7 linked regions of the Macaca fascicularis genome follow. The protein of the gene in region 6 interacts with the protein of the main gene of each other region in a pairwise test. Links are inferred from orthologs where the notes say so. Each region holds a gene or a part of one and is shown on either strand. Other genes may lie near its edges. The genes, in order: SORBS2, LRRFIP2, PAK5, FSBP, LZTS2, ATPAF2 and KRT40.

Region 1 (3,500 bases), on a different chromosome or scaffold from region 6:
GCAGCTGCATTCAGCAGGTGATACAGAAGCTTGGCAGCGGCACCTGAAGGTGTGATGGAGCTGAAACAGTCATTAATCTCAGCCCAATAGGGCACCCTTCTTCAGGTGCTACCCAAGAAGAACTTCGACCTTGAGTAGCACTTGGGGAAAGTTCTCTTTGTGTCAAAACACTGGATGGTTGATTTTGTGTGCTCAGTGGTGACTGAGCAGCACATACTCAAGAAAAGTCAGTCTCAGGCCGGGTGCGGTGACTCATGCCTGTAATCCCAGCACTTTGGGAGGCCAAGGTGGGTGGATCATGAGGTCAGGAGTTCAAGACCAGCCTGGCCAACGTGGTGAAACCCCGTCTCTACTAAAAATACAAAAATTAGCCAGGTGTGGTGGTGGGTACCTGTAGTCCCAGCTACTCCGGAGGCTGAGGTGGGAGAATCGCTTAAACCTGGGAGGCGGAAGTTGCAGTGAGCTGAGAATACACATTGCACTCCAGCCTGGGTGACAGAGTGAGACTCCATCTCAAAAAAAGAAAAAAAAAAAAAAAAGAAAGAAAGAAAAACGAAAAGTCAGTCTCCCCAAAATCTGAAAATTGCACTGATTTTCTAGTACACCAAGAACAGGCAGTTGCTAGGCTCCTGTGTGAGCTGTAAGAGGCACTGGTGAAGCCTTTCCGTAGAGCATGGAATAGGAGATAGAGTTCATGTAATGCTGGGTGGCGCAGCCCAGAGGGTAGGAAAGAAGGAATCGGCTGATGATGCCGAATTAGGACTGATAGGAGAGAATGAGACAAGGTTCTGCCAGGACCAGAACAAACCAGGACTGTGGTATTGCCCTTCATCGCACCTGGCTAAGGATTTCACTAGTAGGCGTGGGAAGTCCTAGAGCCACTCTAAATATTACTATCTTGCCTGTGTTGTGTGCAGAGGCAGTTACCTCAAACAAATATATGTCATGTTTAGAAAGCAATAAAAATAGTTGATTTATCATTCTCAGTTATGTAAAGTAGCAAGAAGAGTTTTTTTTGTTTTGTTTTGTTTTTTGTTTTTTCTTTTTTTGAGACTGAATCTTGCTCTGTTGCCCAGGCTGGAGTACAGTGGCACTACCTCAGCTCACTGCAACCTCCGCCTCCCGGGTCCAAGCAATTCTCTGCCTCAGCCTCCCAAGTAGCTGGGACTACAGGTGTGCACCACCACACCCAGCTAATTTTTGTAGTTTTAGTAGGGATGGGGTTTCACCATGTTGGCCAGGCTGGTCTTGAACTCCTGACCTCATGATCCACTTGTCTTGGCCTCCCAAAGTGCTGGGATTACAGGAGTGAGCCACCACGCCCGGCCTCGAGTCTTTTGATATTATTAAGAAGAGATGCTAGGATTGGATGGGCTGCTAGAGAAATTTGGGTCAATTATGAGACCCAAAGAAGGATGATCCAGGGAAGAGCACTGCACAGGCGGTTCTTAAAGCAGCTCCCCAAGAGGAAGGATTTTCTTCACCTAGGACCATTCCTAGATTCCAAGATAGAGGAAGATAAGGATTGGATTATCTTGTTTCTAAAAGATTGAAAAATAAGGCAGCAAAACAACAATATTTTGAAGTGTATCAAACTGCTTTTTCCTTTTGTGCTCCCGAATGTATACGTCCTTGATTTTTCAGCCCCTTGCCCAGTTTCCCGGACTGAGTCACAGAGGGAGAAGCCTGGTATCCCACAGGGAACTCCTCTGAAAGGACACAGGGACCAGCAGGGAACCGTGACTCTGGGCTGCCTTAGGGAGTCCTTTGTAGAAAATAGGGCTGACATTAAAATGTCTAAAGAAAAAGATAACCTATTTTCGTTTTGAAAATACACAGCCTTTTCAAACACTGACGAAACAACAACAACAACAACAACAACAACAACAACAACAACAACAACAACAACAAAAAGCAGCTGGGCTACCTTTCTCAGTGACAGCTCCACGTTTGTGTCTGCGCTGAAGTTGTATTTGGCTATAGCTTCTCCGATTTCTCCGGGCTGGGCTGGCGGAGGTGGTCTCGCGGGCTGTGCTTTCTCGGGAGGTGTGAGTCTCTGTGAAGGAAATGGTCATCTATTCTCAAATCTGTGGTGACCCTGGAAACCACCACCATCCAAGAGAGAAAGGCAGAGGGCTTACCTCTACGTATGAGATCGGGAAGATGCCCACTCTGCCGTGGTGTTCTCCCTCATACCAATTTTGATCGATTTTCCTGAGGATGTAGACGGTATCTCCTTTCTTAAATGACAGCTCCCTGGAAGAAACACGTTGACATGGTCTTCTCATGATGTACAGCGATAATTCTGAAGATCAGCACCCTCGCTAGATCGGCATTTGTTTGGCAAATACACTTACAATATTAAAAAATCCGATTTGAGATTGAGTTGAGTCCGATTAGATAAGAAAGATCCTTGCAAATTCTTAGAAGGCACTTAAAACATCATAACTTTAGAAATGATTTCAAAAAGAGTAACATTCCATTGGGTATAAATCATGGACAGATTAATATGAAGTTTAAAGGAGGGGACAGACTCTTGCTACTTTATCATTAGTTCAGAAAAGAGGCATTTTGAAGCTTGGAAAATGATGGAATAGTTCTGCACTGATTTTTTTTTTTTTTTTTTTTTGTCTTGAAGCTAGTTGGCTAGTTAGTTACCAGCCCCCCAGCCCCTTTTGATGTACTGAAGCTTACATGAAGGCAAACAAATCTCATGTAGCCTCAGAATAGAAGTGCCAACACCAGAACAAACTTTATTTGTGGATCTTTGAAGTTGGTTGACAGATATTTTAATAGACTATCTTGATAAGGAATTTATTTTGTGTAACAGAAAAGATCTTACGCTTTTAATTTTCAATGGGGCACAAAGAACGTGTTTTAAGGGCAAAGACATGCCAATGTTTGTCTTCTTTCTATCTTTTATTTATAAAAAATAAAAATATTTTTTAAGACACTAACTGTATTTTTCCATTTTGGCTATTTCTAAGAAAATTGTAGGTATATTTGATTTGGGCATTTATAATTTTAAGTTATAATGACATTATTCATTTTGAATAATTCACACCTAAATTTATCACCTTCACTACACTGATTTTTCCTGGCTTAATCACCAGGTGATTAGGTTGGTTCATTATGTTGCCTCCACAAGTATTCTTGGATGGAGGGCGATTAATTTGTATCTTCTCCCGAGAGCCTTGCTTTGCAATACATCTGCCTTCCCACTCTGGAATCTTCTGCATTGTTTTGTTCAGAATTTTCATTTCTTTAATCTTTTAAAAAAAATTTTGGTTCAGAATTTTCAGTTGGATCATTTATCAGTAGATGCCATATGATGGAGAGAGATTGATGCCTGATGGAGAACACTTCTCACTGATTAAAATAATTGATGGAAAAAATGGTGGCATATTAAAGGAATGATCACACATTTAGAAGTGCTAAAATCTTCACAACTGAAAATGTGTTAAATTTTCAGTAACCCTAAAAACAAAAAAGATTCACAG
Region 2 (3,986 bases), on a different chromosome or scaffold from region 6:
TGTTTCTCAAAGCTGATGGGTATAATTGTCCTTGTCTCTCGAACCTTCCCCATTAGTGCCACAGTGGCAGCCCCCATAAACTGTAAGGGTGATCAAGCCTTCTGAAATTGCAGGGGAAGTGGGCAGCACAGAAACAGTCCTTAAAAGGCTTTAGAGACAGGTGCTCAACATGGAATTAGTGGGCTTATTCAGGGGCTTCTGGAATCTGCAGTCCCTGTATGTAAAGTTGTGGTTAGGTGTATTTCGTGCCTTTTTTGTTAGGAGGCTCCTCAACTATCACTTCCTCCGAGAGGTCTTCTCTAGCCATCCTATCCAGCCAGAGGCCTCGTCCACAAAATCTTTTTCATCACTCTGTGTGTTTCCTGCAAAGCCTTACTACACCTGTCATTACCTTGTTTGTTTGCTTCAGTCCGTCTATTCCACTAAGGTGAGCTTTCCAAATGCACAACCCTGGTCCTTCCCCAGTGGCTTGAACCTGGTGGGCCTCGTTAGATACTTCCGGAATAAATGACAAGTCCGTGTCTATCAGATTTTTAACACACTTTATACTCCTCCATCCATCCCGCTCTCCGTCCCCCACTCCACCTCTCGGGCAAGTATTCTTCTCCAGAAATAATTTTAAGGTCATGCGTCTTCATTTTTGAAGTGAAGCTTGGGCATTTCGACCACACCCACCCACCCTCCCTCGCATACTCGTTTCCTAACAGAGCGTTACTCCAGCCCACTTGCCCAAGCCCACCAGGCCGCAGGGTTTAGGAGCAACCAGGGTAAGGGCAGCCCTGAATCGGAACAAGTGTCAATTCACATTACCGGCACTGGTCCTGGTTCGGAAAGCCTGGGCAGGAACCGTGCGACCCAGAGAAGCCACCCGCCCAAGGCCGCCTCCAGCCTCCGCCCCACCAGCAGCCCAGGGCCCCGCCCTACCAGCAGCCGCGCCTCGCCGCCCTCCCTCCAGCTTGGCCCTAACGGCTCGCAATGGCGGAACAGGGAGGCAGGAGCACCGCCGCTTGGGGAACCTCACCCGCCGGCCCAGGGCTCAGCTCGTCGTCTGACAGCCCCGCGTACTTTGCCCAGCGGGGTGCAAGGCCGGCCTGCGGCAAACGCCACTCCCGGGCAGTCACGGCCACAACTGCTTCCGGGTGAGCGGGTCGTCGACCCTGTGGCCCCGCCCATCCTTTGCCTCCTCAGTCGGCCGCTCAGGCTGCGGCTCCTCCCGGGGCCGGTTCCCGCTGTCTCAGCCGCGGCGCAGAGGGCACTTCGGCCTGACCGACTAGCCGGCTGCCGGTGCCGGGAGCCGCCGCGTCCATCCCCGCCCGCCTGGCCGGGGGACCCAGGACTGAGTCGTCCAGCTGCGCCCCTCGCCCCTAGCCCCAGCGGGCGCCGGGCGGGCAAGCCGCTCTTCGGCCCTTCCCGGACAGCGACGCAGTCACAGCGCGCGCCCTAACCCAGGTAAGGGCCGCTCCTCCCGCCAGCCCGGTGGGAGCAGGGAGCAGGGAGTTGGGGACCTTCCTCCCGGCCTCCGCAGTCCCGTGGGATCCGCGCCGCCTCTGACCTCGGCTAGGGGGCCGGGCTTCCCTGGGGACTGGCCGGCCCCCGGCAGGCTCCCGGACTGGGGTCGCCCCCTGCCTGCGGCGTTCTCAGACATCCCGTCTGATTTCTAACGCTCACCCTTCCTCCGCGCAGGGGAAAGGTACGTGTTACTCCCACTGTGGGAGAAATTAAATTGGGCAGCTGTCCCTCCGTTTCGGGTGCCCCAGGCGCCTTCTCTTCCTCCCTAGATGCCACACTCCAGTTCTGTCCTGGGACGAGCACCCCCAGGGAACGGTGTCAGGACGGTGTAGGGCGTAGCATTTTTTGGGGAATTTTACTTCTTCCTTGACCTGAGCTGGAGCGCGGGTTTAACAGGCCCTAGCTGGGTTAATACTTGACTAATATGAGGCGTTATTGACACCCAGATTGTTAAGTTACAGAGCTCCAGTCAACCCTGCCTGTGAGTAACCGGCAGGATGCAGGAGGACCTAAGGAAACCCACTTCTTTTTCTTTCTTAGAGAGAAAAAAGTTCAAGTGTTTGCTTTACTTTTTCCACCGTGGGAGCTACAAATACAGGCTGCTGAGACATGACTAGATAAATATTGTATCCTAAACCTTAACTGTTAGTAGCTGGTTTTCTTTGAGTTTCCATTTAATAACTCAGCATTTCTAGTATAAACAAAAAAATTGTAGAGTGGATTGATTGACTAAAAATGAGATGTAAGGATAAGAGTGGTTCTTAATTTTTTTATGTTGTCATAGTTGGAAGAGAATGTGGATGCAGTAATGGAACAGAGAGGGAGAGCAGGGTGTGGATGTATAAGTTCTTAATCAGTGTTTAAAATAATATTTTTTCAAGATAACATTTTATTTTGGGGATAAATCTATATGAAAAAGTGCAATTATTGGAGAATGCAGTGTTGCAAATAGAGTTAGTTGGCAGGGACTCCAAGGTTGTTGCAGCACTAACCCTGTTTAACCAACATCATGCTCTGTTTAACAGATACAGAGATAATGACCTAGTATTATAATATACTTATGTAGAATAAGAATTTCGGAAAGTGTGATTCATTTCGAAGGTAGATCACTCACTTTGTGAATCATTGCTATGAATCTGAAAATTGAAATAGAGAAAAGCTAAGTTCGTGTCTGCCTAATGAGATGGCATTCTTTACTCATTTAGTAGAAAGTGTTGTATTATGTTTTGTTAGGTCTGTTGCTGGATATTTGTCATCATGAAGAATGGTAATGAAATAAAAGTTGAAGTATTTGCAGAATGCTCGAATTTAGAATAGTCTGTTGGTTTTTAAGTGATTGTTTTGGTTTTACCCTTCCCCCCACTTTTTTTTTTGCCAGATGTGGGAAGATAAATGAAGGGGTCTAGAAGTAAGTGTCAGTGGAAAGGAGAGCTACCATCACTAAGGTATGAAAATGTTCACTGAAAGAATTTGCACTATACAAAATAGTCTTTTGAGTGGAAAGCATCACCCATTTTTGTGATTCTGTCTTTAAAAATGTAGAATGAAACTACATGAGTTATTATTTAAGTTCTGTTCTAGAAGAAAGTGTGTATTGAAGTTGTGATTGGAATGGATTCACTTTAAACTAGAAATAGCTTTTTATTGCTGAAATGTAATTTGATCATTTTTGACTTTCAAGTGTTAAGTAAAATAAGGTTGAAATCACAGAGTTCTTGATACCCTTAGCCTTGTTTTTCTTTTCCTTCTGTTGGAGTTCAGCTGATTTTTTACCTTGATTTTCATTTATGAAGAACTTTAGCTAGTTATAAAGTAATGGCAAGTCTGTCCTGTTGGTCTAGCTTACTAACTTCCTTTACTTCTTTCACTAAATTTTGACATCTTCTTTTACTTTGGATATCCATTATATTCAGAGTGTTCCCTAATGTTGCTTTTGATTTTTGTCCAGCTAATAGTGACTAAAGAGTTTCAGTTCCCTGTGAACACAGATTCCCTTTTGGAAAATCCCTTGTGGAAATCACCGTAACTGACAGTCTTGATAGGTAAATACGCAAGGGAAACCTTTCCAGGTCAGGATTTAAGTATCTCTGTAATGAAAGGAAAAGGTGATATGGAGAATGCATTTGGCAAAGTATTTCTGTCTCTCAAAACAAAAACAAATCTTGGTTAGATGTGAATTTAGCAAGAGGGAGGGAGCAATTTCTTGCAAAACTGTTTGTGGATTGTTTAGCCTGTTGCTAGTGTGAGAAGGAACAGAATTGATGATATATAGAAAAAAAATAATTCTTGTAGTGTGTTGGGAATGTTGACGAGTATCATTCAAAACGAAATAAAATTCTTCCGTCTTTACCTTAGGATCATTATCCATTGCACCTGCAAAATAGAGGCTGTTTCATAGCTTTTTCCTTTTAGGTAGTTGCTTTCCATCTGGAACATCTAAATTGAGAGATGGTCCTTTAATGGGGAAAATGTACTAC
Region 3 (3,500 bases), on a different chromosome or scaffold from region 6:
TTAGTGAAATACAGTCACATCATATTTATCACTCATATATCAGAATATCTTTCAAATAAATAAGTTTATTTGCCTTTTAATGAGAAACCAGGTAGGAGGGCCCAAAAGATAGGTTTTGATTTTAATGAATATATATGCCTTATCCTAAATCTTCTGCCCTGGGGCCTCAAAAGTGGAGACAGGGTGGGTTTTGATATTAATTTTCCCTTAAAAGGCAAACAAGTAGTTGGCAATCTGATCGTATAAAAAGATCATCCCAGCACCACCCTTGTGGAGGTTTTTGTACACTTCAGGGAAAGGAGGTAGCAAACGTTACCTTTGGAATGCACATTGTGGGCTCGGACAAGCGAGGGTAGGTGTAGGAGTTGTAGGAGTGTCCTTGGGGATGGGTTTTAAATGCACTTGCTCCAAATGGCATCATCGGTTCCTGGAGCCCCGAGCCTGACCTGGACCTCTGCCGCATGGCGGGCTGGGGGCTCGTCTGATTCAGGTACGAAGACTTCGGCCTCCTGTCATAGTCATCCAGGCTGGGTCCCCATTCACTTTCACTGTATGCCAAGCTCTCCTTGGAGCACCCGCTGGTCCCTGCAGTTCTAGAAGGTGTGAATTGGAATGAATAATCCAGAGGGGAGCTACTCGAGGCTCTCTGATACTCCCACTTGAGGTCACTATATTCACTTGGTTTGCTCAGTGAGTCCAAATGTGAGTGATAATCAGCAGAAAATCTGGCGAAATCGGATTTCAAAGGCTTCATCTCAGAATAGTAGGCCTCCCCGTGCTTCATTTTCATTACGTGCCCATTTTGTTTGGCTGCATGGCTGCCTCTATAATACGGATCCAGATCGTCTCCATAGAGACTCTTCTCCCTGTACTTTTCGGTGGTGTAGTCAGCAGTAGTATCGGATTCGCTGGAATACTGGGAGAAGGTGATGAAGCCATTTTCTTCCGCGTGGCCTGGACCGTGGCTGGAGGCTCCCTGATCTGGGGTGGGTGGGCTTTCTTTCCTTAGGGAGTTGGAACGAGTCACCGAGATGTTGTCAAAATCCTCTAGCAGGCCGTTGATGGAGGTTTCCTTGCAGGGTTTGTTTCCTCTAACGATTGTCTGGGGATAATAAAAGGAATACTGTTTGAGGAAAATATTTCATGACTTTAAGTTGACGGCGGCATCCCACCCCCACTCCATCCAAATTAAACTACAGAAGGAAAAAGACCCCAGGAACACTTAATACAAAATGACAAAGAAAAAATCGTTGATTAACTGTAGTGGTGAAATAAATGAAATAGTAGACAATAATCTCAAATTGCAATTTTCTTCCTACCTATCTCAATAGAGACATCAATTAACCACCAAAAAGCCATGTACGAGACTACATAGGCTCTCACTGTTTCATTTACCAGTTTACAGGCAAATCCCTTCCCCCTGCTTCTTCTACCTAAATAATAAGCCCCAACCATCTATAGATGAGCTGATAATTACAATTTAACACTCTATAACTGTTTGGTAATAAAAAATAATATTTATTACTGTTTTACATTCATTATTCAGATGATTTTCAAAACCAGAAGGCATTGTCGCCCAAGTATTAACATAACTAGAAATGGGTGTACATTTTTTACCCTTATATGGAAGACACATAATAACTGAGGTTATGAAATTTTATAGATGAGGAAGGCACTTCTTGAAACTGTAATTAGGAAACAGCCTGAAGATTATTTGTGTGATTTATGATGAAATGTGATATTCTTATTAAGTATATATACTTATACTATACAGCTTGTTTGCTCTGGCCACACTTCTGCGTAACATCATCGCTGAATTTTGGGTGGCTTAGTAATGATGGTTGCACCTGGATCTTAGTGACAAATTGTTCCCTTTAATGAACCTAAATAACACAAGAATACCAGGAACTGAAAGACATCGCAAACCACTTACAAAACCGTCAGCTGTTCCTTGACAATGACAGGATTCGCAGGAAAATATGATGGGGGTGGATAAAAGAACAAAGAACAAAGTGTTGTGACTTCAGACTTCCAGGATTTTAGGAGAAAAATACCTTTGAGCAACTAGCAAGGAGTTCAAAACCATCTTGGATGGTACAATAGAAGACTTCAAACTGGAGGAGGAAGTCAAAGTTTTCCTGGAGCTGATGTTTTATAAATCTATCCATGGTGAAACAGAGGCTTTATTTTTTTTTCTCTCAGAGTCCTGGACTAATGCTTTTGTTCTATACCCTTTTCTTTCAAATACATTTTTTGTTCTAGAATAGTTTTAGATTAACAGAGAAGTTGCAAAGAGAATACAGAGTTCTCATAGACTTCTCATCCAGTTTCCCCTTCTGTTAATATCTTGCATTGCTATTAAGGAAACTCCATGTTCCTATAGATTTCATTAATTTTCTTCTAGCGTTCCAGAGTTCTATCCAGGATATCTCGTTACATTTATTTGTTGTCTTCCGAGTTTCCTCTGATCTCTGACAGTGTCTCAGATTTTCCTTATTTTTTGATGACCTTGACAGTTTTGAGGAGTACTGGTCAGGTATTTTGCAGAATGTTCCTCAGTTGGGGTTTTCTTGTGTTTTTCCCATGTTTAAACAGAGGTTATTTGGTTTGAAGAGGAAGACCAGAGAGTAAAGTCACATTTCATCACATGATGTTCAGGGTACATAACATCGACATGACTTAGTAATGATGATGTTAGCCCTGACTACCTGGGTGAGGTCGTATTTGCCAGGTTTCTTATACACACTGTCCCACTCCCCTCCCCTAGCTTTCCATATATTGTATTATTTGGGAACAAGTCAATAAGTGTAGCCTCTACTCAAAGGGCAGGGATTTAAGCTCTGTCTTCTGGGGTGTGTGTGTGTATGTTGCGGGGTATCTATATAAAGTAGTTGGAATTATTCTGCACAGACTTGCTTATTTGCTCCCATTTACCTACTTATTCAATTATCTATTTATCTATAAGGATGGATGGACTCATGGTTATTTATTTTATACTTTGGGTTATAAGCCAAAACTATGTTATTTGCCTTGCTGCTCAAGTGGTTCCAGCTTCTGTCACTGAGAGTTCTCTCAGGCTGCCTGCTGTGTCCCTTTCACAATCCCTCTTCCTTTTATTTTTCGAGCACTTCCTGACTTTCTGTCACTACAAGAAGCTCCAGGTTTATCTTTTATTTTCCCTGCCCTTCCCCCCAAATCAGGCATTTCTCCAAGGAACCCCAACAGTATTAGAAATTAAGATTTGGTTCCGGGAATACTCATTGCTACTGGGTATCACTGCCAGGCCTCAGCAAACAGAGCTCCGAAATAATATGTTTGTAGACTAACTCATGAATACACTCACACACCTATAATTATATCTGTCCATCTGCATCTATATTAACCTAAGCATAAATCCATATTAATGTCTCTGAATCTGATCAAGTACCACATAGTTCATTCTAGCCATTTCGTTACTTACCTGTAACTTCGCTCTGTAACAGTAAAAAACATGGACCCAA
Region 4 (3,978 bases), on a different chromosome or scaffold from region 6:
AAACCTGGAATGGGAAAAGGTTAAAATTGCATATGAAAATTAAGTTTTTAAAATCACATAATTACTATTTCAAATTAGTAGGTAAAATAAGAGTATAAACATAGACATTATACTCCCAAGTAAATTAAAAATATGCCTTATATCTGGAACATTCCATTCCATTTTAGCTAAAACATTACAACTAAGGCATAACAATGTAAAAAGGGAGAAAAAAAGCTTTAGAGCAGGTCACAAAAATGACAGAGAAGGACTTGAGAATCAGAACTTTGAAGATCAGTTTACAAAAACACAAAATAAAAACTGATATTAGGAAGAGGTAAAAATAAAGACATAAGTCAATGTGAGTTACTGAAATAAATAGCCTTACAAAACAGGTATATATTTTTAAGTATTTTAAACAACGCAAACACTTGTATTTTCCTTATTAAAAAGGAAGAGTTTGGTAAGATTAACAGGCATATTTATGTAGAAGTATAGTTAAGATTATAGAATAATTATAAACTTCTGAGATTATTAAGATTCAAGGATGATGTCAATCAAATAAATATAAGCACATTAAATATATAGATTAAAGAAATAAGCTAACACAGAGAAAATGTCAATGCAGACACAGTAACACAAGAATTTAAGAGGGATGTTTCTCACATTCTTCCCTTTAAAACCTAACAAATTGATATTATTTAAGTCATAGGTATAGAAACGCACAAATCAACTCATTTTTATCAGAGAAATGTTGATATCCCAAAAGATTTTTTTGTGTGTGAATATTGTAAACATACACACACAAATGGTCAAAATATAACCAGATACTTGTATATTTATATATTGTTTCTCTTCTATACTCACTGTATCTTTAAAATATGCAACTAATTAAAATCACAGTTTCTACATGTAGTTTTCAAATTATAAAAACCTATACCTACTAACCACAGGGTACAGTTTTATACCTGCAATGCAAAAAGCATTTTTCTCCAGGGTTCAAGGGGGACAAAATTCTGCATAAGTAGCATAGTATAAAACAATTTTACTGTGTAGTTTTCTGGATATCCAGCTATTGGGATTTCATCTTTTGTCATCACAGTGAACATTTTAACCAGTGGCCCCAAGAATTAATCCACTGTGCATTCACGTCCTGGATTCCCACTGGTGGTATTTTTTTACTGTGCTATCAAGTAGAAATAAGCAATATCTGGTAAGAAGCTAGGCTCAAAAATACTTTCCTAGTAAATTACCAAAATAACATATGCACTTGGCTACAAAGTGGTTTTTTTCTGTTTCTCTTCTAATTTCAAAGGGATTTCACAGTAATCAATAATTTGCTTATATAATGCCTCTTCCACCAATAGAAAAGCACATTGTGTAAAGCTTTGTGTGAAAGGCTCCTCAAACTAACAAGGAGTTTACAATTTGTTTAAATTAATCTAAATGGTTCAGAATAAGAATGTAGCTGCCATCTTTATATTTTGCCAGAGGTTACAATCTGAATTAGTGGCAAGATAATACTTTTGAAAATTCCAAGGCAAACAGTTACATAGAACACAAGTTTAACCAAAAAATTGCTTCTAACTCTAAAATAACCCAGTTGCTCTTAGGGGTATTTTAAAATTCATAATTTGATATCCTTGCAAAGCAGTAAGAGAAAGTTTACTCTTTCCTATATGATCCAAGATCAAAGTGAAACTAGACCATTAAGGAATAAAAACAAAAAAAAAACTTTTAATTGTATTAAGTAAACTGAATCCCTAATTAGGCATTAACTCCCTTTAGTTGCGTTCATCTTTATTTTAAATGTGTTAGAAAAATAATTTAAACTGTCTTCATATACACAATCATGCCATTAACAAGTTTACTTATTGATTTAAGTTATATTTGTTAGTTAACACATATTCAGTAAGTGTAGACAATGACAATTCATAAAAAACAAAGGTTCCATTTCTCTAGAAACTGCTAACTTTATATAAATTTTATATAAAATTGAAAATTCCAGTGAAATGTAATACTAAAAGAGAAAAAAAGTATCTCTCAGAAGCAAACAAAATAATTTAATTTTAAAGCTTCAAAAGTTTATGAAGTTATGTCACAAATTTCATCCCACTTATTCCTCCCTAACCTTTACTTTTAGAAACTACAGGAGGGAAGGGGGAGGGGAAGACAGTAAAAAGTAGCTTAAATGCAACAGAAAAATTCCTCATAGCCTCACTTTTCTCTTTTTAAAAAATGCAAAACAAAGACACTATTCATTGCTCCCGTTGTGGGGATGCTTACTATGCATATCTCTATCACGACTAAGCCAAAGCCCAATAGATAGGAGGCGCCATAATTTTCCATAACAAAACAAAATAAAGCTTACCTTTGTATGTGGTTCCTGTCTCTTACCAGGCAAAAACTGGAAATCTGGGGAATCATCTCCATAACTTTCTTGGTTGGCTCAGAAATATTGCTTTTAAAATCTGATTGGGTATCTTTTTGCTGCAATAGCTCCTGTTTGGCATATTCTTTGAGCCTTTTGTAAAGGGTGCGTAGGCCCTGTGCTGTTCGAGGAGGGCGGTCTACTCCAATTGCATTATAGTTAACTGCTATGATATCCCAACATCTATTCTTTTCCACTATTACTGAATGTTTATTAGTGTGTTCTTCGAGAATTTTCACATATGGCTTCACAAGCTTTAGCAAATCAAGCTTTTCGGATAAGGTAAAATTGGAAGATCTAGCCTTTCCTACCATTGTTCTTTTCAAATTAAGTAGGCAGTTTCTGAAACCACCATGCAGCCTTCAGCTCTGCTCAGCTCTTTTCACAAACAGAAAAAGATCAGGCTTAACTAGGCTAGCCTCATTTAGGCCCACGCCTACAGGGGAGGGTTTATTAAAATTCCTCCAGCTTAAGCTGACGCAGGTTCAGGAAATCTGCTTAAGCCAAGCCTGACCTACATAAAGCTTCTCACTGAAGAAGACAGGAAGGCACAAGCAAAACACACTTGTGTATAAAAGGAACAGCTCGAGACAGGATTTAATACACAAAGGTCTAGAGATAAGCATGGAACACAGCTAAAAATTAGCTAATTTAGTGAGAATATCAAATTTCACACGTATGCCTAGCTGACAGACTGAACTGCATTGCAGTATCACTTTAATAAAAACAAAAGAGGAACTGTTTTGTGCTATTTGTTTGCAAATCCAGTAGACAGAAAACTAAAAGATATGAGTGGTGAATGCAGTAATTCCTAACAGAGCCTCTCATCACTGTTTCTGAGCTGAGTGTTCTCCCTTACAAAATCTGCATAATGCTGGACCTGCTGTCAATCAGGAATTGCATATCCCCTAGCTAGTTAGGTTACACCCAGACCCAGACTCCACGGTAAAGCTAAGCTTCTCCTTCATTTTACAGTCTACATTAGCCTCTGCATATTTTTTTCAGTTAAGAAAAAATTTTTATAGAACACTCAATCTAAAAATCATGTTTTTAGAGCAATGGATTATTCTAGCCGTAATGTATGTGAATATGCTAGCCTGCCTTATCATGTGTAAAAAATCACTATTCATGGTGAGAAACAGTATAATCACGCCTTAAGACTCCACACACGAAATCGCATTTGCTATTATAATACAGCCAGATTTTTTATTTAGCTATATTCACACAGTTTGGACTATGAAAGGAAACAGCTAGTATAGCCATTTTCAAGGCCACCAGTTTCAGTACTTAGAATATATTTGTTAACCCCAGTATGAAAATATATGATACATAATAATGTAAGCAAGACAAACCTATTTTCTCACAATATACATGTTTTTCCAGGTAGGGGAATAAATCAGAACATACTTGAACATAGTTCTATCCAATCAAACTATTACTGAACAACTGCAAAGTATTAAGAGGTGGGAAAAATAATTTTTTTTTAATTACTGACCACATATATAAATGCTCCCAGGCACTGTGCAAGACCCAATGAAATCAAAAGTGAATCTAAATATAGCACCTAC
Region 5 (3,500 bases), on a different chromosome or scaffold from region 6:
AGCTCCTGCTCTAGCTGCCGGTTGCGCCGGTACATCTGGATGTAGTTGTGCTGCAGCTGCTTCTGGTAGCGGATCACCTGCTCCTTCTCTGCCTGCCAGGCCAGCCGCTCCCCTTCAAAGCTGTCCCGCTGCTCCTCACCCCGCCGCCGCTCCCGCTGCAGCTCCACCCGCAATCGCTCCACCTGGGCCCGCAAGCTGCCCCCAACCCCGGCTGCTGCCCGCTGCACTTTGGCCTCATCACTCTCTGCCAGGAGGAATGGGTCAGCGGTGGCAGGTGGCACAGCCGGCTCCCGGAGTCCAGCCGCCTCAGCATCCAACTGCCCAGCTTTCTCCCGCAGCCGCTCGGCTTCCTGGCGGTGTCGCTGCAGCTCCTGGGAACAGGCTTCCAGCTCCAGCTCCCGAGCTCGGGCGGCCTCCTGTAGACCCCGCGCACGGCCCTCACTGACCCGCAGGGTAGCACGGGCCTCCCGCAGTGCCACCCGCAGGGCCACCAGCTCGCTGCCCTTCTGCACCAGCTCTGCCTGAGACTCCTTCAGCTGCTGCTTCAGCAGGGAGATCTCGCCTGATTTCTGGCACACCTGGGGGTGGGAGGCAGTGGGGAAGGATGGTGAGACAGGTTCTCCTGGGGGGACAGGCCCTGTGCATCATGCTGGGCATTCGGGAGGAGAGTCCATCTTTATCCCCATTTTATAGATGGAGACACTGAGGCAAGTCTAGTGACATGTCCAAGGTCATAGAGTGAAGATGTGGCTTAAGTGGAAAGCAGACATAGATTTTTTTGCTTCAAAGTTGGTGTCTTCAAAGCATCACGAGACACTGTGGAAGTACCACCGAGCCCTGGGGACTGGGTGCTGGCAGGTGCTGCAGGAGTGGGGGCAATGGAGGGCAGTACCCAGGTGTCTACTGGAGAGGTACTACAGTGACTTGGTTAAGAGCTCAGATATTGGAGCCAGACTGCCTGGGTTCAGATTTGGCACTCCAGTCTTTCTGGGCCTCAGTTTACTCATCTCTAAAATGGGGAGACTAGTGGTAGCCCCCTCAGTGTTGTTACAAGGATGAAATGATCTGTCCCATGTAACATGCTTAGAAGAGTGCCTCCACACCACAAACACCACATTCTTACTACTGGCTGGAGCGTGGCTTTGTGCCACTAGACAAGGCCAACAAGGAGACCCTCCTCCCAGAAAGGAACAGAGGAGAACTTCATCTCACGGAGGTGAGGAAGGGGAGGACCTCTGGGGGTGGCAGGCTGAGGGAGGGTGCGGCTGGGCCCCTTTTTCCAGGGTTTCTCCCTGTGTGACCCTGCTCCCTGCCCCTCCTGGTCTGGCCCACCTCCCACTTGGTCTCCTCAAGCCTTGGCCCGAGCTCCCGCTGCTCCCGCTCCAAGGTGGCGCAGCGCCGCTCCAGCTGTTCACGCTCCTGCAGCAGCTGTGCAAAGTCATCCTGCAATTGCCGCTTCTCCTGCTGCAGCTGGAACACCTGCAGCTGCAGCAGCTGTTGGGCCCGCTGTGCCCGCTGTGCCTGGGCTGCACAGTCCTCTCGCAGGGCCTCGCGCTCTCGCTGCCAGTGCCGCTGCCGCTCCTCGTATGCCTGCAGGCGAGAAGACAGACCCAGCTCCTGGGCAGTTTTCCCAACTCCCCACTCAGTGTCTGCCTGGCGGCCCACTTCTGAGGGCTCAGGAAGGGTGTATTCCATCAAACAACAATAGTAATTGCAACAATACTAACTGCTTTTATAATGATCATAGAAACAAACACAAGAGCAAGCAGACCGGGCTCGGTGCCTCACGCCTGTAATCCCAGCATCTTGGGAAGCCGAGGTGGGTGGATCACTTAAGCTCCGGAGTTCGAGACCAGCCTAGGCAACACAGCAAAACCTTGCCTCTCCAAAGAACAAAAATTAGCTTGGTGTGGTGGCGTGTGCCTGTAGTTTCAGCTACTTGGGAGGCTGGGGTGGGAGGACTGCTTGAGTCCAGGAGGTTGAGGCTACAAGGAGCCGAAATCGCGCCACTGCACTCTAGCCTGGGTGAGAGAATGAGACCCTGTCTCAAAAAAAAAAAAAAAAAAGCACTTGGCCGGGTGCAGTGGCTCAGGCCTGTAATCCCAGCAGTTTGGGAGGCTGAGGCGGGTGCCTCACTTGAGGCTAGGGGTTCGAAACCAGCTTGGCCAACATGGTGGGAACCCCGTCTCTACTAAAAATTCAAAAAAAAAAAAAAAAAAGCAAGCATTTATGTATAGCATTTCCTAGATACCAGGCATTAGTCTAAGCACTTTACACCTTTTGCCTTATTTAATCCTCATAACAATCCTATGAAGCTAGAAATATCCCTGTTATAGATGAAGAAATAGAGGCTGAATAAAGTTAAGCAACTTGCTCAAGTCCAAAAACTGGTATTTAGCAGTGGGAGGTTTGAATCCATGCACTCTGACTCCTTTCCACCCCACAAGTTTTGTTTTTTGTTTCTTGTTTTGAGATACAGTCTTGCTCTGTTACCCAAGGCTAGAGTGCAATGGCAAAATGTCAGCTCACTGTAACCTCCTCCTCCTGGGCTCAAGTGATCCTCCTACCTCAGCCTCCCAAATAGCTGGGACTACAGGTACATGCCACCACACTCAGCTAATTTATTTTTAGGAGAGATGGGGTTTCCCCATGTTGCCCAGGCTGGTCTCAAACTCCCGAGCTCAAGCAATCCGCCCACCTCGGCCTCCCAAAGTGCTGGGATTACAGATGTGAGCCACCACGTCTGGCTATTCCACAAATTAAACCAGACAACTGGTGGGGAGGGCAGGGGGGTCACAACTACAACTACCCAACCCCTCTTCCCTGCTAAAATGGAAATGCCCCTTTCATTCCCCAGGCCTTGGGATGTCCTGCCATGCCCCTTCCCCATCATTGCCTCTGACCACACCTGGCACATGGTAGCCTCATTCTCGTCCAGACTGTCCCGCAGCTGCTGAAGCTCTGCCTCCCGCTCTCGGAGCTTTCCTTCCAGGACACAGTGCAGCAGGGCCTCGTCGGAAGGAGGTGGAGGCGGGGGTGGTGGTGAGCGCTCCCCACAGGAGCTGCTGTCAGGGGAGGCCCGGGTACCACTGCCCAAAAGCCCGGCAGCCACACGGCCCCCCAGGGAGCCTGTGCTCTTGCTGGAGGAGGACCGGCCACTGTCTGAGTGGGAGGGCCCAGTAGGGACCCCTCGGGCTGGCCCAGGCAGTGCCCCTCGCCCAGAGCCATGGGAAGGCAGGTGCCCGCCTGGGGAGCTGGTGGCTGGCTCGGCACCTCCGGTGCTGTAGGTGGGCAGGCTGGACAGTGAGTTTCGGCCAGAGTCGGATAGCGTCCCTGATGGGCAGCCACTGGCCCAGCCACTAAATGCCAGGGGTTTGTCAGCAGCTGAAGAGGAGGAGGAAGAAGAGGAGGAGGAGGCAGGGCCCCCAAACAGCTGTGTCAGGCTGCCCTGGCTCCCAGACAGCCCGGTGGCCCGAGGACCCATGAAGCTAGGCAGGGAC
Region 6 (3,500 bases):
GGAACTTATTAGAAATACACATTCTCAGGCTGCATCCCTATAGAATCAGAACTTCTGGAAGTGGGGCCCAGCAATCTGTTTTAACAAGCCCTCTAGGGGATTCTAATGTAAGCCTGAGTTTGAGAACCACTACCCTAAATGCCCCCAAATATTTGACAGGTCCAAGCTTGCTGCGCTATGTTACTGTCATTCTAAAGCAGATCCAATCTACTAACTGCAACCCTGGGTCCACACCCGCTTGACCTGGATGCTGAATGGGAATGCTGTGCCAGATGCTCAGTCTTTGCATCTCTACCCTCACCCCCTCCAAGAGACTGTGCCCCTGGTCACAGACCAAAATAGCCTGTTTACACCTCACAAGCCCATCCACCTCCTGGCTACAGATGCAGCTGCTGGCACAGATGCCAGACCTGATGGGACCAAGCTAGAGGCCAGGCTGTGTCATTTGTTTGACCAAGAGACACAGGCATGAGTCAGCTGAGGGGAGCTGAGCTGCAGGGTTTTATGGGATGGGAACCCAAGTAGGCATTATGGAAATCCACCGTCTTGTGTAAGCAACGTGGGGAAGAGAGGTCATGAGTTATGCTGGGAGGGGCAGATGGGCAGCCAACCTTTCCTCCCTCACCTTCCGCTCACCCCAATAGGGCACAGGGAGGAGCTCTGACATTGGATCTTATAGCTCCCTTTCCTGGTGGCCCGATCGTCCTTCATTTCCTGTCAGGATCCCTGTATAGTTTTCAAGAATCCTCTTTTTGTCTGAGCTAGATTGAATGGGTTTCTGCTCCCTGAAGTCAAGTGAACCTAATATAAATGGAGCGGGCTTTCCCACTAGCTATGGGCCACCCACTTCGAAAGCATGCCTCCAGTCATCAGTGCTGACTTCCTGTGTCATCGTGAGATGACTCAGGATACTAGAGCACTTGGGCTAGCAGGCACCGTGCTGCTCAATCATTTCCATTGTTTCTCAACTTTCCTTCGGCAACACTGACCAATTAGCCAAGATATATAGACACAGAGGAGAATTCAGAACTGGAGAAGGACACTCCTACTTATCAGCATCCATAGTGCCAAGGATGTCTACCTGAGAAAGTGTCAGTGGGCAGAAGTTTAAGGTCACAGGCGCCCCCAGGCCTAAGGAGCCTGTGGTCACGGCACCTGCAAGAGCTGCATAACCACCCTCCCAGCCTAAGGAGCAGCTTCTAGGCTAGAGAAGAGGGGTGGCCATGTTCTAACACCATTGTAGCCTGAGCAGTCCTCCTCCTAAGGGGCTACAGAGCAGCCAAATGCCAAAGTCAAGTGGGCCACCTTCCCTGTCCTTGCAATAAATGGAGAGGGTTTCTTCTTCCACTGATAACCATCTGGGCAAATCAGGAAAAATAGCCCCAGGGACTGTCTCAATCCAAGGGGAATGCCCATCTAAATGTCCATTACCAGATGGTGTCAGTGTCCAGAAACTTCACGGCTGCCCGGATCAGCTGATCCTTGTTTCTCTGGGTTGGGTTGTCCAAGGATGTGTTGCACAATGTGGTCTGAATCAAAGGCAAAAACCACCCTGTCACTGCCTGTGGGGCTCAGACAAAAGCCCTGCTTTCCTGAGGACACCTCATCTGACACATAGCAGATAGCACCACAGCACAGCCCTCCACCAGAGGCATCTGCACTACCGGAGCAGCAGCACAGCTACTGAGAGTGTGCCACAGCCAGGCCCCATGCCAAATGCTTTCTGTCGATGCTCACAGGACTTGAGGGAAGCTTGCAGCAGCCCCATGATTAGTGAACCTCCCCACAGTCACATTATTACCAGGTTCTAGTGTATTTAATCCTCACAACAACCCTTTGGAATAGGTACTATTATTATGCCCATCTGAGATGTGAAAACTGAGGCCCAGACAGGTTAGGTTAAGTACATCATCAAATACAGTTAATAAGACACGTATCAGTGATGGAGCTCAAATCTGACTGGAAACCTTTACCAGCTGCCTCCCTTACACCTTAGAAAGGAGGGAAACAGACCATGCAAATCAGGACTAAGATTATTTGTTTTGGCCAAGTGTGGTGGCTCATGCCTGTAATCCCAACACTTTGGGAGGCTGAGATGGGTAGATCACCTGAGGTCAGGAGTTCAAGACCAGCCTGGCCAACATGGTGAAACCCCATTTTTATTAAAAATACAAAAATTAGCCAGGCATGGTGGTGGGCGCCTGTAATCGCAGCTACTTGGGAGGCTGAGACGGGAGAATCGCTTGAATCCAGGAGGCGGAGGTTGCAGTGAGCTGGGATTGCACCATTGCACTCCAGCCTGGGCAACAGAGCGAGACTCTGTTTAAAAAAATATATATATATATTATTTTTTTCCAGGCTTACCTTGTCAATAACAGGCTGCTTAGGTTACCCTATTCATTTGTAGCCCCAATCACCCCAATTTCACTAGGTTGTCAAGGATTAGGCCAGCACCTCAGCAGGCTGTGATGTTGGCAGGAGGCCCATGTGAGTTTGCAAAGGTTGAGCACAGCAGCGACTGGGATGACAGCAGCTGACTCCTACACTGACTCAGTGCCCAGTCAGTGCTGGGGACCATGCCAAGGGCTTTCTTGCATCATCTCATCTCATCCTGACCATGGCTCTGTGAGGTGGGTACTATTATCACTCATCTTTAGGAGATGGGGAATACGGGGCTGTGAAAGGGGCAGCAACCTGCCCAAGGTTACAGTTTAGAAGCTGCAGAGGCTGGACCAAAGAGTCTGGCTGGGCCCTTCCTTCCCCAGGCAGCCTTGGTGCCTAGATGAGCCACTTTGGTGTGGACGAGGGGCTCTGGTTCTATAGGGAGTCTTCCTCACCTCGCCCATCTGCCTCCAGTGGGTCTTATAGTCAACTAATATTTATTAAGTACCAACTAAACTACCTGCTAGTGGCTGTCCAGATACTGGTGAGTAAAACAGACATGGCTCCTGCCTTTCTGTTGCTTACCAGGCAGTAGAGACAGACAGACAATAAATGTGCAAACATAAAACAATTATAAATTGTCTAAGTGCTGACAAAACAAATGGCCAGCTGCTGTCATAGAAAATAAGAGAGCTGGGGAGTCAGTGAAGGTGACATCTGTCCTGAAACCAAAGGAGAAACCAGTCATCCAGCACAGTGTTCCTAGGAGAGAGAACTGCAAGTAGCCAGGCCAGACAAGGAAAGAGTTTAGCACATTAGTGACTCGAGAGGAGGTGAACACCTGGGGCCCAGGTAGGCAAAGGACCATCCCCCAGGGCCTTGTCAGAATTTGGTAAGGGATCTACCCTAGGAAGCCCTGGGTGGGTCTCAGGGTCCAGATTCGCACTGTGAACTTGTTACCAGGTGCATGGTGTAGTACTTGATGGTATCCTGCTGGGAATCCCATTCAGTGGCCACTGCAATGGCCAGGGCCTCACTGGGGACGGTAAAGAGCTTGGCTTGGGGAGTTTTCAGCTTCCTCTGGTCCAGGTTTATCTCAAAGCCACCTTGAAAGATCA
Region 7 (4,216 bases), about 44 Mb from region 6:
TTAAAAGTTTATAAATGCGGAATATTTAAAAACACTGGTCCAGATAGTGTATGAGTCCTTATCCCTTTTTTGAAACGGACTTCATAGTCTGTTTCTCAGACTGATTTTCATACCCTGTGGATTGGAGCTAGGGGTGGCATAAAGCCTCCAAAGGAAGCCATTTGTGAAGTTACTCACCTCCTCCACAAAGGCAAGGGCAGGAGAAGAGTTTGGTTCCTTTGTCTGGCACTGTCTAGGGGCTATTTCACATGTTAATTCAGAGACACGCTGGAATGATCAGGTTGAATAGTAATAATGCCTCGAGTAGTTTTTCTGCTTTTTTGTTTGTTTGTTTTTTGAGATGGAGTCTTGCTCTGTTGCCCAGGTTGGAGTGCAGTGGTGAGATCTCGGCTCACTGCAACCTCCGCCTCCTGGGTTCAAGCTATTCTCCTGCCTCAGCCTCCCGAGTAGCTGGGACTACAGGTACCCACCACCATGCCCAGCTAATTTTTGTATTTTTAGTAGAGATGGGGTTTCATCATATTGGCCAGGCTGGTCTCGAACTCCTGACCTTGTGATCTACCTGCCTCGGCCTCCCGAAGTGCTCGGATTACAGGCATGAGCCACCGCGCTTGGCCCTGCCTGGAGTAGTTTTATTCCAGCTTAAGCAACATCCGCCCAAATTTGATTTACAAACATCAACAGATCATCTGTCAGTGTTAAGTACGTTACTCTCGGAGTCCTTCAGTGGCGTTGCCGCTTTCCTTACCTCTTCATGGTTTTTCTTAAGGCAAAGGAGATCTTCCTTCAGAGACTCCACATGGGCCTCCACATCAGATTTGCACAGGGTCAGCTCATCCAGGATCCCATGCAGGCCACTGATGTCTGCCTCTAATAGCTGGCGAAAGGACAGTTCACTCTCGTACCTTTCACGGCAAAAGAGAAATCCAATGCTTACTTTGCTGAACGCTGTGCAAAGTGTGGGGATACGTGGAGGATCGACACATGGACTTCAGGAAGCCACATGCATAATTTCTCTTAATTCCTAAGTAATGATAAATTCAAGCTTTTAAAACATTCTTGACTTTAAAATATTATATAGAGAATATTTGTGGGGGTGTGTGTGTGTGAGAGAGAGAGAGATTAAGAGAGAGAGAGAGAGCGAGCCATAAATTATTTTCAAATTAAAATTAAGGCAGGGTGTGGTGGCTCATGCCTGTAATCCCAGCACTTTGGGAGGCCGAGGCAGGTGGATCACCTGAGGTCAGGAGTTCAAGACCAGCCTGGTCCACATGGTGAAACCCCATCTCTACTGAAAATACAAAAATTAGCTGGGTGTGGGTGGCGGCGCACGCCTGCCTGTAATCCCGGCTACTCAGGAGGCTGAGGCAGGAGAATCGCTTGAACCCAGGAAGCAGAGGTTGCAGTGAGCCGAGATAGCGCCATTGCACTCTAGCCTGGGCGACAAGAGTGAAACTCCTCAAAATAAGTAAATTAAATTAAATTAAATTAAATTAAATTAAATTAAATTAAACTTACTTTGACTTAAAGTCATCAGTGGCCAGTTTGCAGTTGTCAAGCTGTACAGCAAGTCTAGAATTCTCTGCTTTCGTGCATAAGATCTGGGAAGCAAGCCATTATGTGACAAATGATTCTTTGAGAGAAACCTAAATAAACTTCTATCCAACAGCTGTGCCATTAGTTATCTTTTGAAAGTCTTTATAAGAAAGTATAAAATCACCCTCAGCCTGCTTTTCTTATTGACCTTGTCGCTTCATGAAGAAAAAAGCAGTGCCAATTTAGAAGCAAAATAGAGAAATAAAAAGGTTTAGTTTTTTAATAACATAAGACACTTTGCAACATCCCTAGGCAGTTGAACACCATTAACGTTTTCTCCATCAGTAGTTTGTATTATGACTCTATCCTCTCCCATAATAATAGAAATTCATCAAGGAGACAAGCAAATGATTACTAGGTGGTTAAAAAGATGGCATTTGACGATTTGTGTTCAGATAATATAAATGTTCAGTGTCAAATACAAAAGCGATTTTGGATGTAATACAGTTTTTCTGCATTCTATAGATGATGAAGGAAAAGCCTAAGGGCGAGTTACTTTATTATAGTCACTCAGTTATCAGGGGTAGTTCTGGCGCTGGTGCTGAGGTTTTCTGACTTTCAGTCCAGTGGTCTCCCCTATGTACCATTAACTCCTGGAATTCCCCTTTCCCTTGGTTGCCTTCTGGAAAACCGTCCCTCTGGTAGAAAGATAAAGCAAGTCATAGATCCGGAAGGTGGAGCACTAGGGCAACAGGACACACACCTTTTGTTGGAGATCTTCAATGGTGTTGAAGTAACACTGATAATCCGGGCACACCATTGGGATATCCTGTTCACATTGTTCTTGGATCCTGGATTCCAGCTCTGCGTTGGTCTCCTCCAGGCTGCGCACCTTCTCCAGATAGTTGGCAAGTCTGTCATTCAGGAACTGCATCGTCTCCTTCTCATTGCTAGTGAACACCCCATCCTCACACCAGGCACAGTTCCCCACCAAGCAGGGACTGTTACAACTCCCAGTAAAGTAGCATGGCAGGAGGCAACCAGTCAGCCCGCGAGACCTGGATAGGAAGCTTGGAGTCTGACATCGGGATGTAGCACAGGCACCGGGGAGACAAGCTGTTTCTATGCAACAGCTTGAGGCAGGTGCACAACCGGAGGCCGTGGTACAGGATTCAGGAGAGCAGTGTGTGGAGGAACAGTCAGAAGTCATCCTTCCAGAAGCAAAGACAGAGGCTGGCTGCAAAACTTCAGTTGCCTTGACTCCAAAACTCTCCTTCCCTCCTGAGAGTTTTATAACGCCCCAAAATGGGTGTTTACAGACTGCACCGGATGTTTTCTTTATCACTGATGGTGCCAGTTTTCATACAAACATCTCATTAGAGTTGTTTATTTACTGAGGAAGAGTTTTATGCCTCATAAAAGAGGGATAACTTTAGGTTACCGAAGCAGGACCTACACCATTTCCATGTGCCAGACAAAACACTTATTTCAGAAAATTGTCATAGGAAACATTGTCCTTTTGACAGAATAAGAAAAGAAAGAGAAAATTTGGCCAATCAATAATTATAGATACAACTCATTACAAATCAGGAAAATAACATGTCCACAGATTTTGATTCTGTGCATTGATTGCTTGGGTCCCCTTTTAAAATTAGTATTACAGCTCATAAAATGACATTTATTTGTTTGTGCCACCACCATAAAAATGGTCAGTGTGATTAGCAATCTTTCAATGCTTTTTGTGTTCTCAGAGTATGTGCTGACAAGACTGGAGGAGTGAGCTATATATTGGACTTAATGTGTGTGTGTGTGTTTGTGTGTGTGTATACAAACATGTCTACCTGCGTACAAATGGAAAAGTCACTTTACGTAACTGATAGGAATAACTTGTTTTTCTGCAGGCTAAAATATAAATTGGTTAGAGCTGGAATTATGATCTTTGATTTTCTGAAACTTGCCTTCTCCCCATTTCTCATTTCTTGTTATTAGATAAGTTACACTATTTTACGTGTATTTCTAATGAGAGTGAAATATAAATTGTAAGTTATAACCTTTTAGTCCCTTGGGAATTCCTCAATGATTATACTTCAGAGTAGGGACAAGGAACCCACAGGAGTCTTTTCTTCTGAGATGTACAGCCTGTTTTCTCCTATTTATTTATTTATGAAGGCCTGAATTTCATGAAAATTAAAACTGCTGGAACTTGCAAAATAAAATTTTATTTAGGTTCCAAATCAGTGATTCCACTGGATGAAATCTCTGGTGCCAAATCTGACAGATAGGAACTTGAGATGTGTAACTTTTTTGGATTCTGTCTTGGATTTCAGCTCCATTATGAAGCATAATCTGTTTCACTTTGCTTGGTTTTAGTCGTTATGTTTATTTCATTTTCAAAGGTGCATAGAGAAAATTGCCTGTAGAATTTTTGAGAACATTATAGGAAAAGAAAACACAGTAATCTGAAAAAGTTAAAAATTTTTTGATCCAGAATAAACTTATTTTTTCCCCTAATCCTGAGGGCTACTTCCTAGGTAGCTGATAATAGAAACCAAACCAGAAGAACATATGTAAGTGAGTTAAAATAGTCTCTGAGGATTTATTACTCCCTGGGCAGAGTTAGGTTTGAATTTAGTGATTCTCTTTACACATCAACACTTATGCAAAAAGTTCTTAGAGTGTC

The links.
Region 1: the proteins of ATPAF2 (region 6) and SORBS2 interact in binary tests that used the Homo sapiens proteins (3 or more experiments, as listed by UniProt). The two-hybrid records come from large-scale screens. The link is inferred for Macaca fascicularis from reciprocal best matches to the Homo sapiens genes ATPAF2 and SORBS2.
Region 2: the proteins of ATPAF2 (region 6) and LRRFIP2 interact in binary tests that used the Homo sapiens proteins (3 or more experiments, as listed by UniProt). The two-hybrid records come from large-scale screens. The link is inferred for Macaca fascicularis from reciprocal best matches to the Homo sapiens genes ATPAF2 and LRRFIP2.
Region 3: the proteins of ATPAF2 (region 6) and PAK5 interact in binary tests that used the Homo sapiens proteins (3 or more experiments, as listed by UniProt). The two-hybrid records come from large-scale screens. The link is inferred for Macaca fascicularis from reciprocal best matches to the Homo sapiens genes ATPAF2 and PAK5.
Region 4: the proteins of ATPAF2 (region 6) and FSBP interact in binary tests that used the Homo sapiens proteins (3 or more experiments, as listed by UniProt). The two-hybrid records come from large-scale screens. The link is inferred for Macaca fascicularis from reciprocal best matches to the Homo sapiens genes ATPAF2 and FSBP.
Region 5: the proteins of ATPAF2 (region 6) and LZTS2 interact in binary tests that used the Homo sapiens proteins (3 or more experiments, as listed by UniProt). The two-hybrid records come from large-scale screens. The link is inferred for Macaca fascicularis from reciprocal best matches to the Homo sapiens genes ATPAF2 and LZTS2.
Region 7: the proteins of ATPAF2 (region 6) and KRT40 interact in binary tests that used the Homo sapiens proteins (3 or more experiments, as listed by UniProt). The two-hybrid records come from large-scale screens. The link is inferred for Macaca fascicularis from reciprocal best matches to the Homo sapiens genes ATPAF2 and KRT40.

The regions. Positions count from the first base shown.
Region 1 is NC_088379.1:190,372,412-190,375,911, forward strand, and holds part of SORBS2 (sorbin and SH3 domain-containing protein 2), read right to left. Parts: intron 2,257-3,500; coding exon 2,142-2,256; intron 2,057-2,141; coding exon 1,928-2,056; intron 1-1,927. UniProt on the Homo sapiens protein: Adapter protein that plays a role in the assembling of signaling complexes, being a link between ABL kinases and actin cytoskeleton. Can form complex with ABL1 and CBL, thus promoting ubiquitination and degradation of ABL1.
Region 2 is NC_088376.1:99,207,095-99,211,080, reverse strand, and holds the start of LRRFIP2 (leucine-rich repeat flightless-interacting protein 2), read left to right. Parts: upstream 1-1,186; 5' UTR 1,187-1,690; intron 1,691-2,887; 5' UTR 2,888-2,954; intron 2,955-3,986. UniProt on the Homo sapiens protein: May function as activator of the canonical Wnt signaling pathway, in association with DVL3, upstream of CTNNB1/beta-catenin.
Region 3 is NC_088384.1:77,744,157-77,747,656, reverse strand, and holds part of PAK5 (serine/threonine-protein kinase PAK 5), read right to left. Parts: intron 1,103-3,500; coding exon 317-1,102; intron 1-316.
Region 4 is NC_088382.1:104,083,837-104,087,814, forward strand, and holds the start of FSBP (fibrinogen silencer-binding protein), read right to left. Parts: upstream 2,801-3,978; 5' UTR 2,725-2,800; coding exon 2,351-2,724; intron 1-2,350. UniProt on the Homo sapiens protein: Transcriptional repressor that down-regulates the expression of the fibrinogen gamma chain. Represses transcription of GSK3B gene promoter via its interaction with APBA1.
Region 5 is NC_088383.1:109,962,960-109,966,459, reverse strand, and holds part of LZTS2 (leucine zipper putative tumor suppressor 2), read right to left. Parts: coding exon 2,909-3,500; intron 2,022-2,908; exon of another isoform or gene 1,591-2,021; coding exon 1,333-1,590; intron 579-1,332; coding exon 1-578. UniProt on the Homo sapiens protein: Negative regulator of katanin-mediated microtubule severing and release from the centrosome. Required for central spindle formation and the completion of cytokinesis.
Region 6 is NC_088390.1:18,141,158-18,144,657, forward strand, and holds part of ATPAF2 (ATP synthase mitochondrial F1 complex assembly factor 2), read right to left. Parts: intron 3,489-3,500; coding exon 3,343-3,488; intron 1,530-3,342; coding exon 1,432-1,529; intron 1-1,431. UniProt on the Homo sapiens protein: Plays a role in the assembly of the F1 component of the mitochondrial ATP synthase (ATPase).
Region 7 is NC_088390.1:62,067,983-62,072,198, forward strand, and holds the start of KRT40 (keratin, type I cytoskeletal 40), read right to left. Parts: upstream 2,801-4,216; 5' UTR 2,747-2,800; coding exon 2,300-2,746; intron 1,602-2,299; coding exon 1,519-1,601; intron 906-1,518; coding exon 749-905; intron 1-748. UniProt on the Homo sapiens protein: May play a role in late hair differentiation.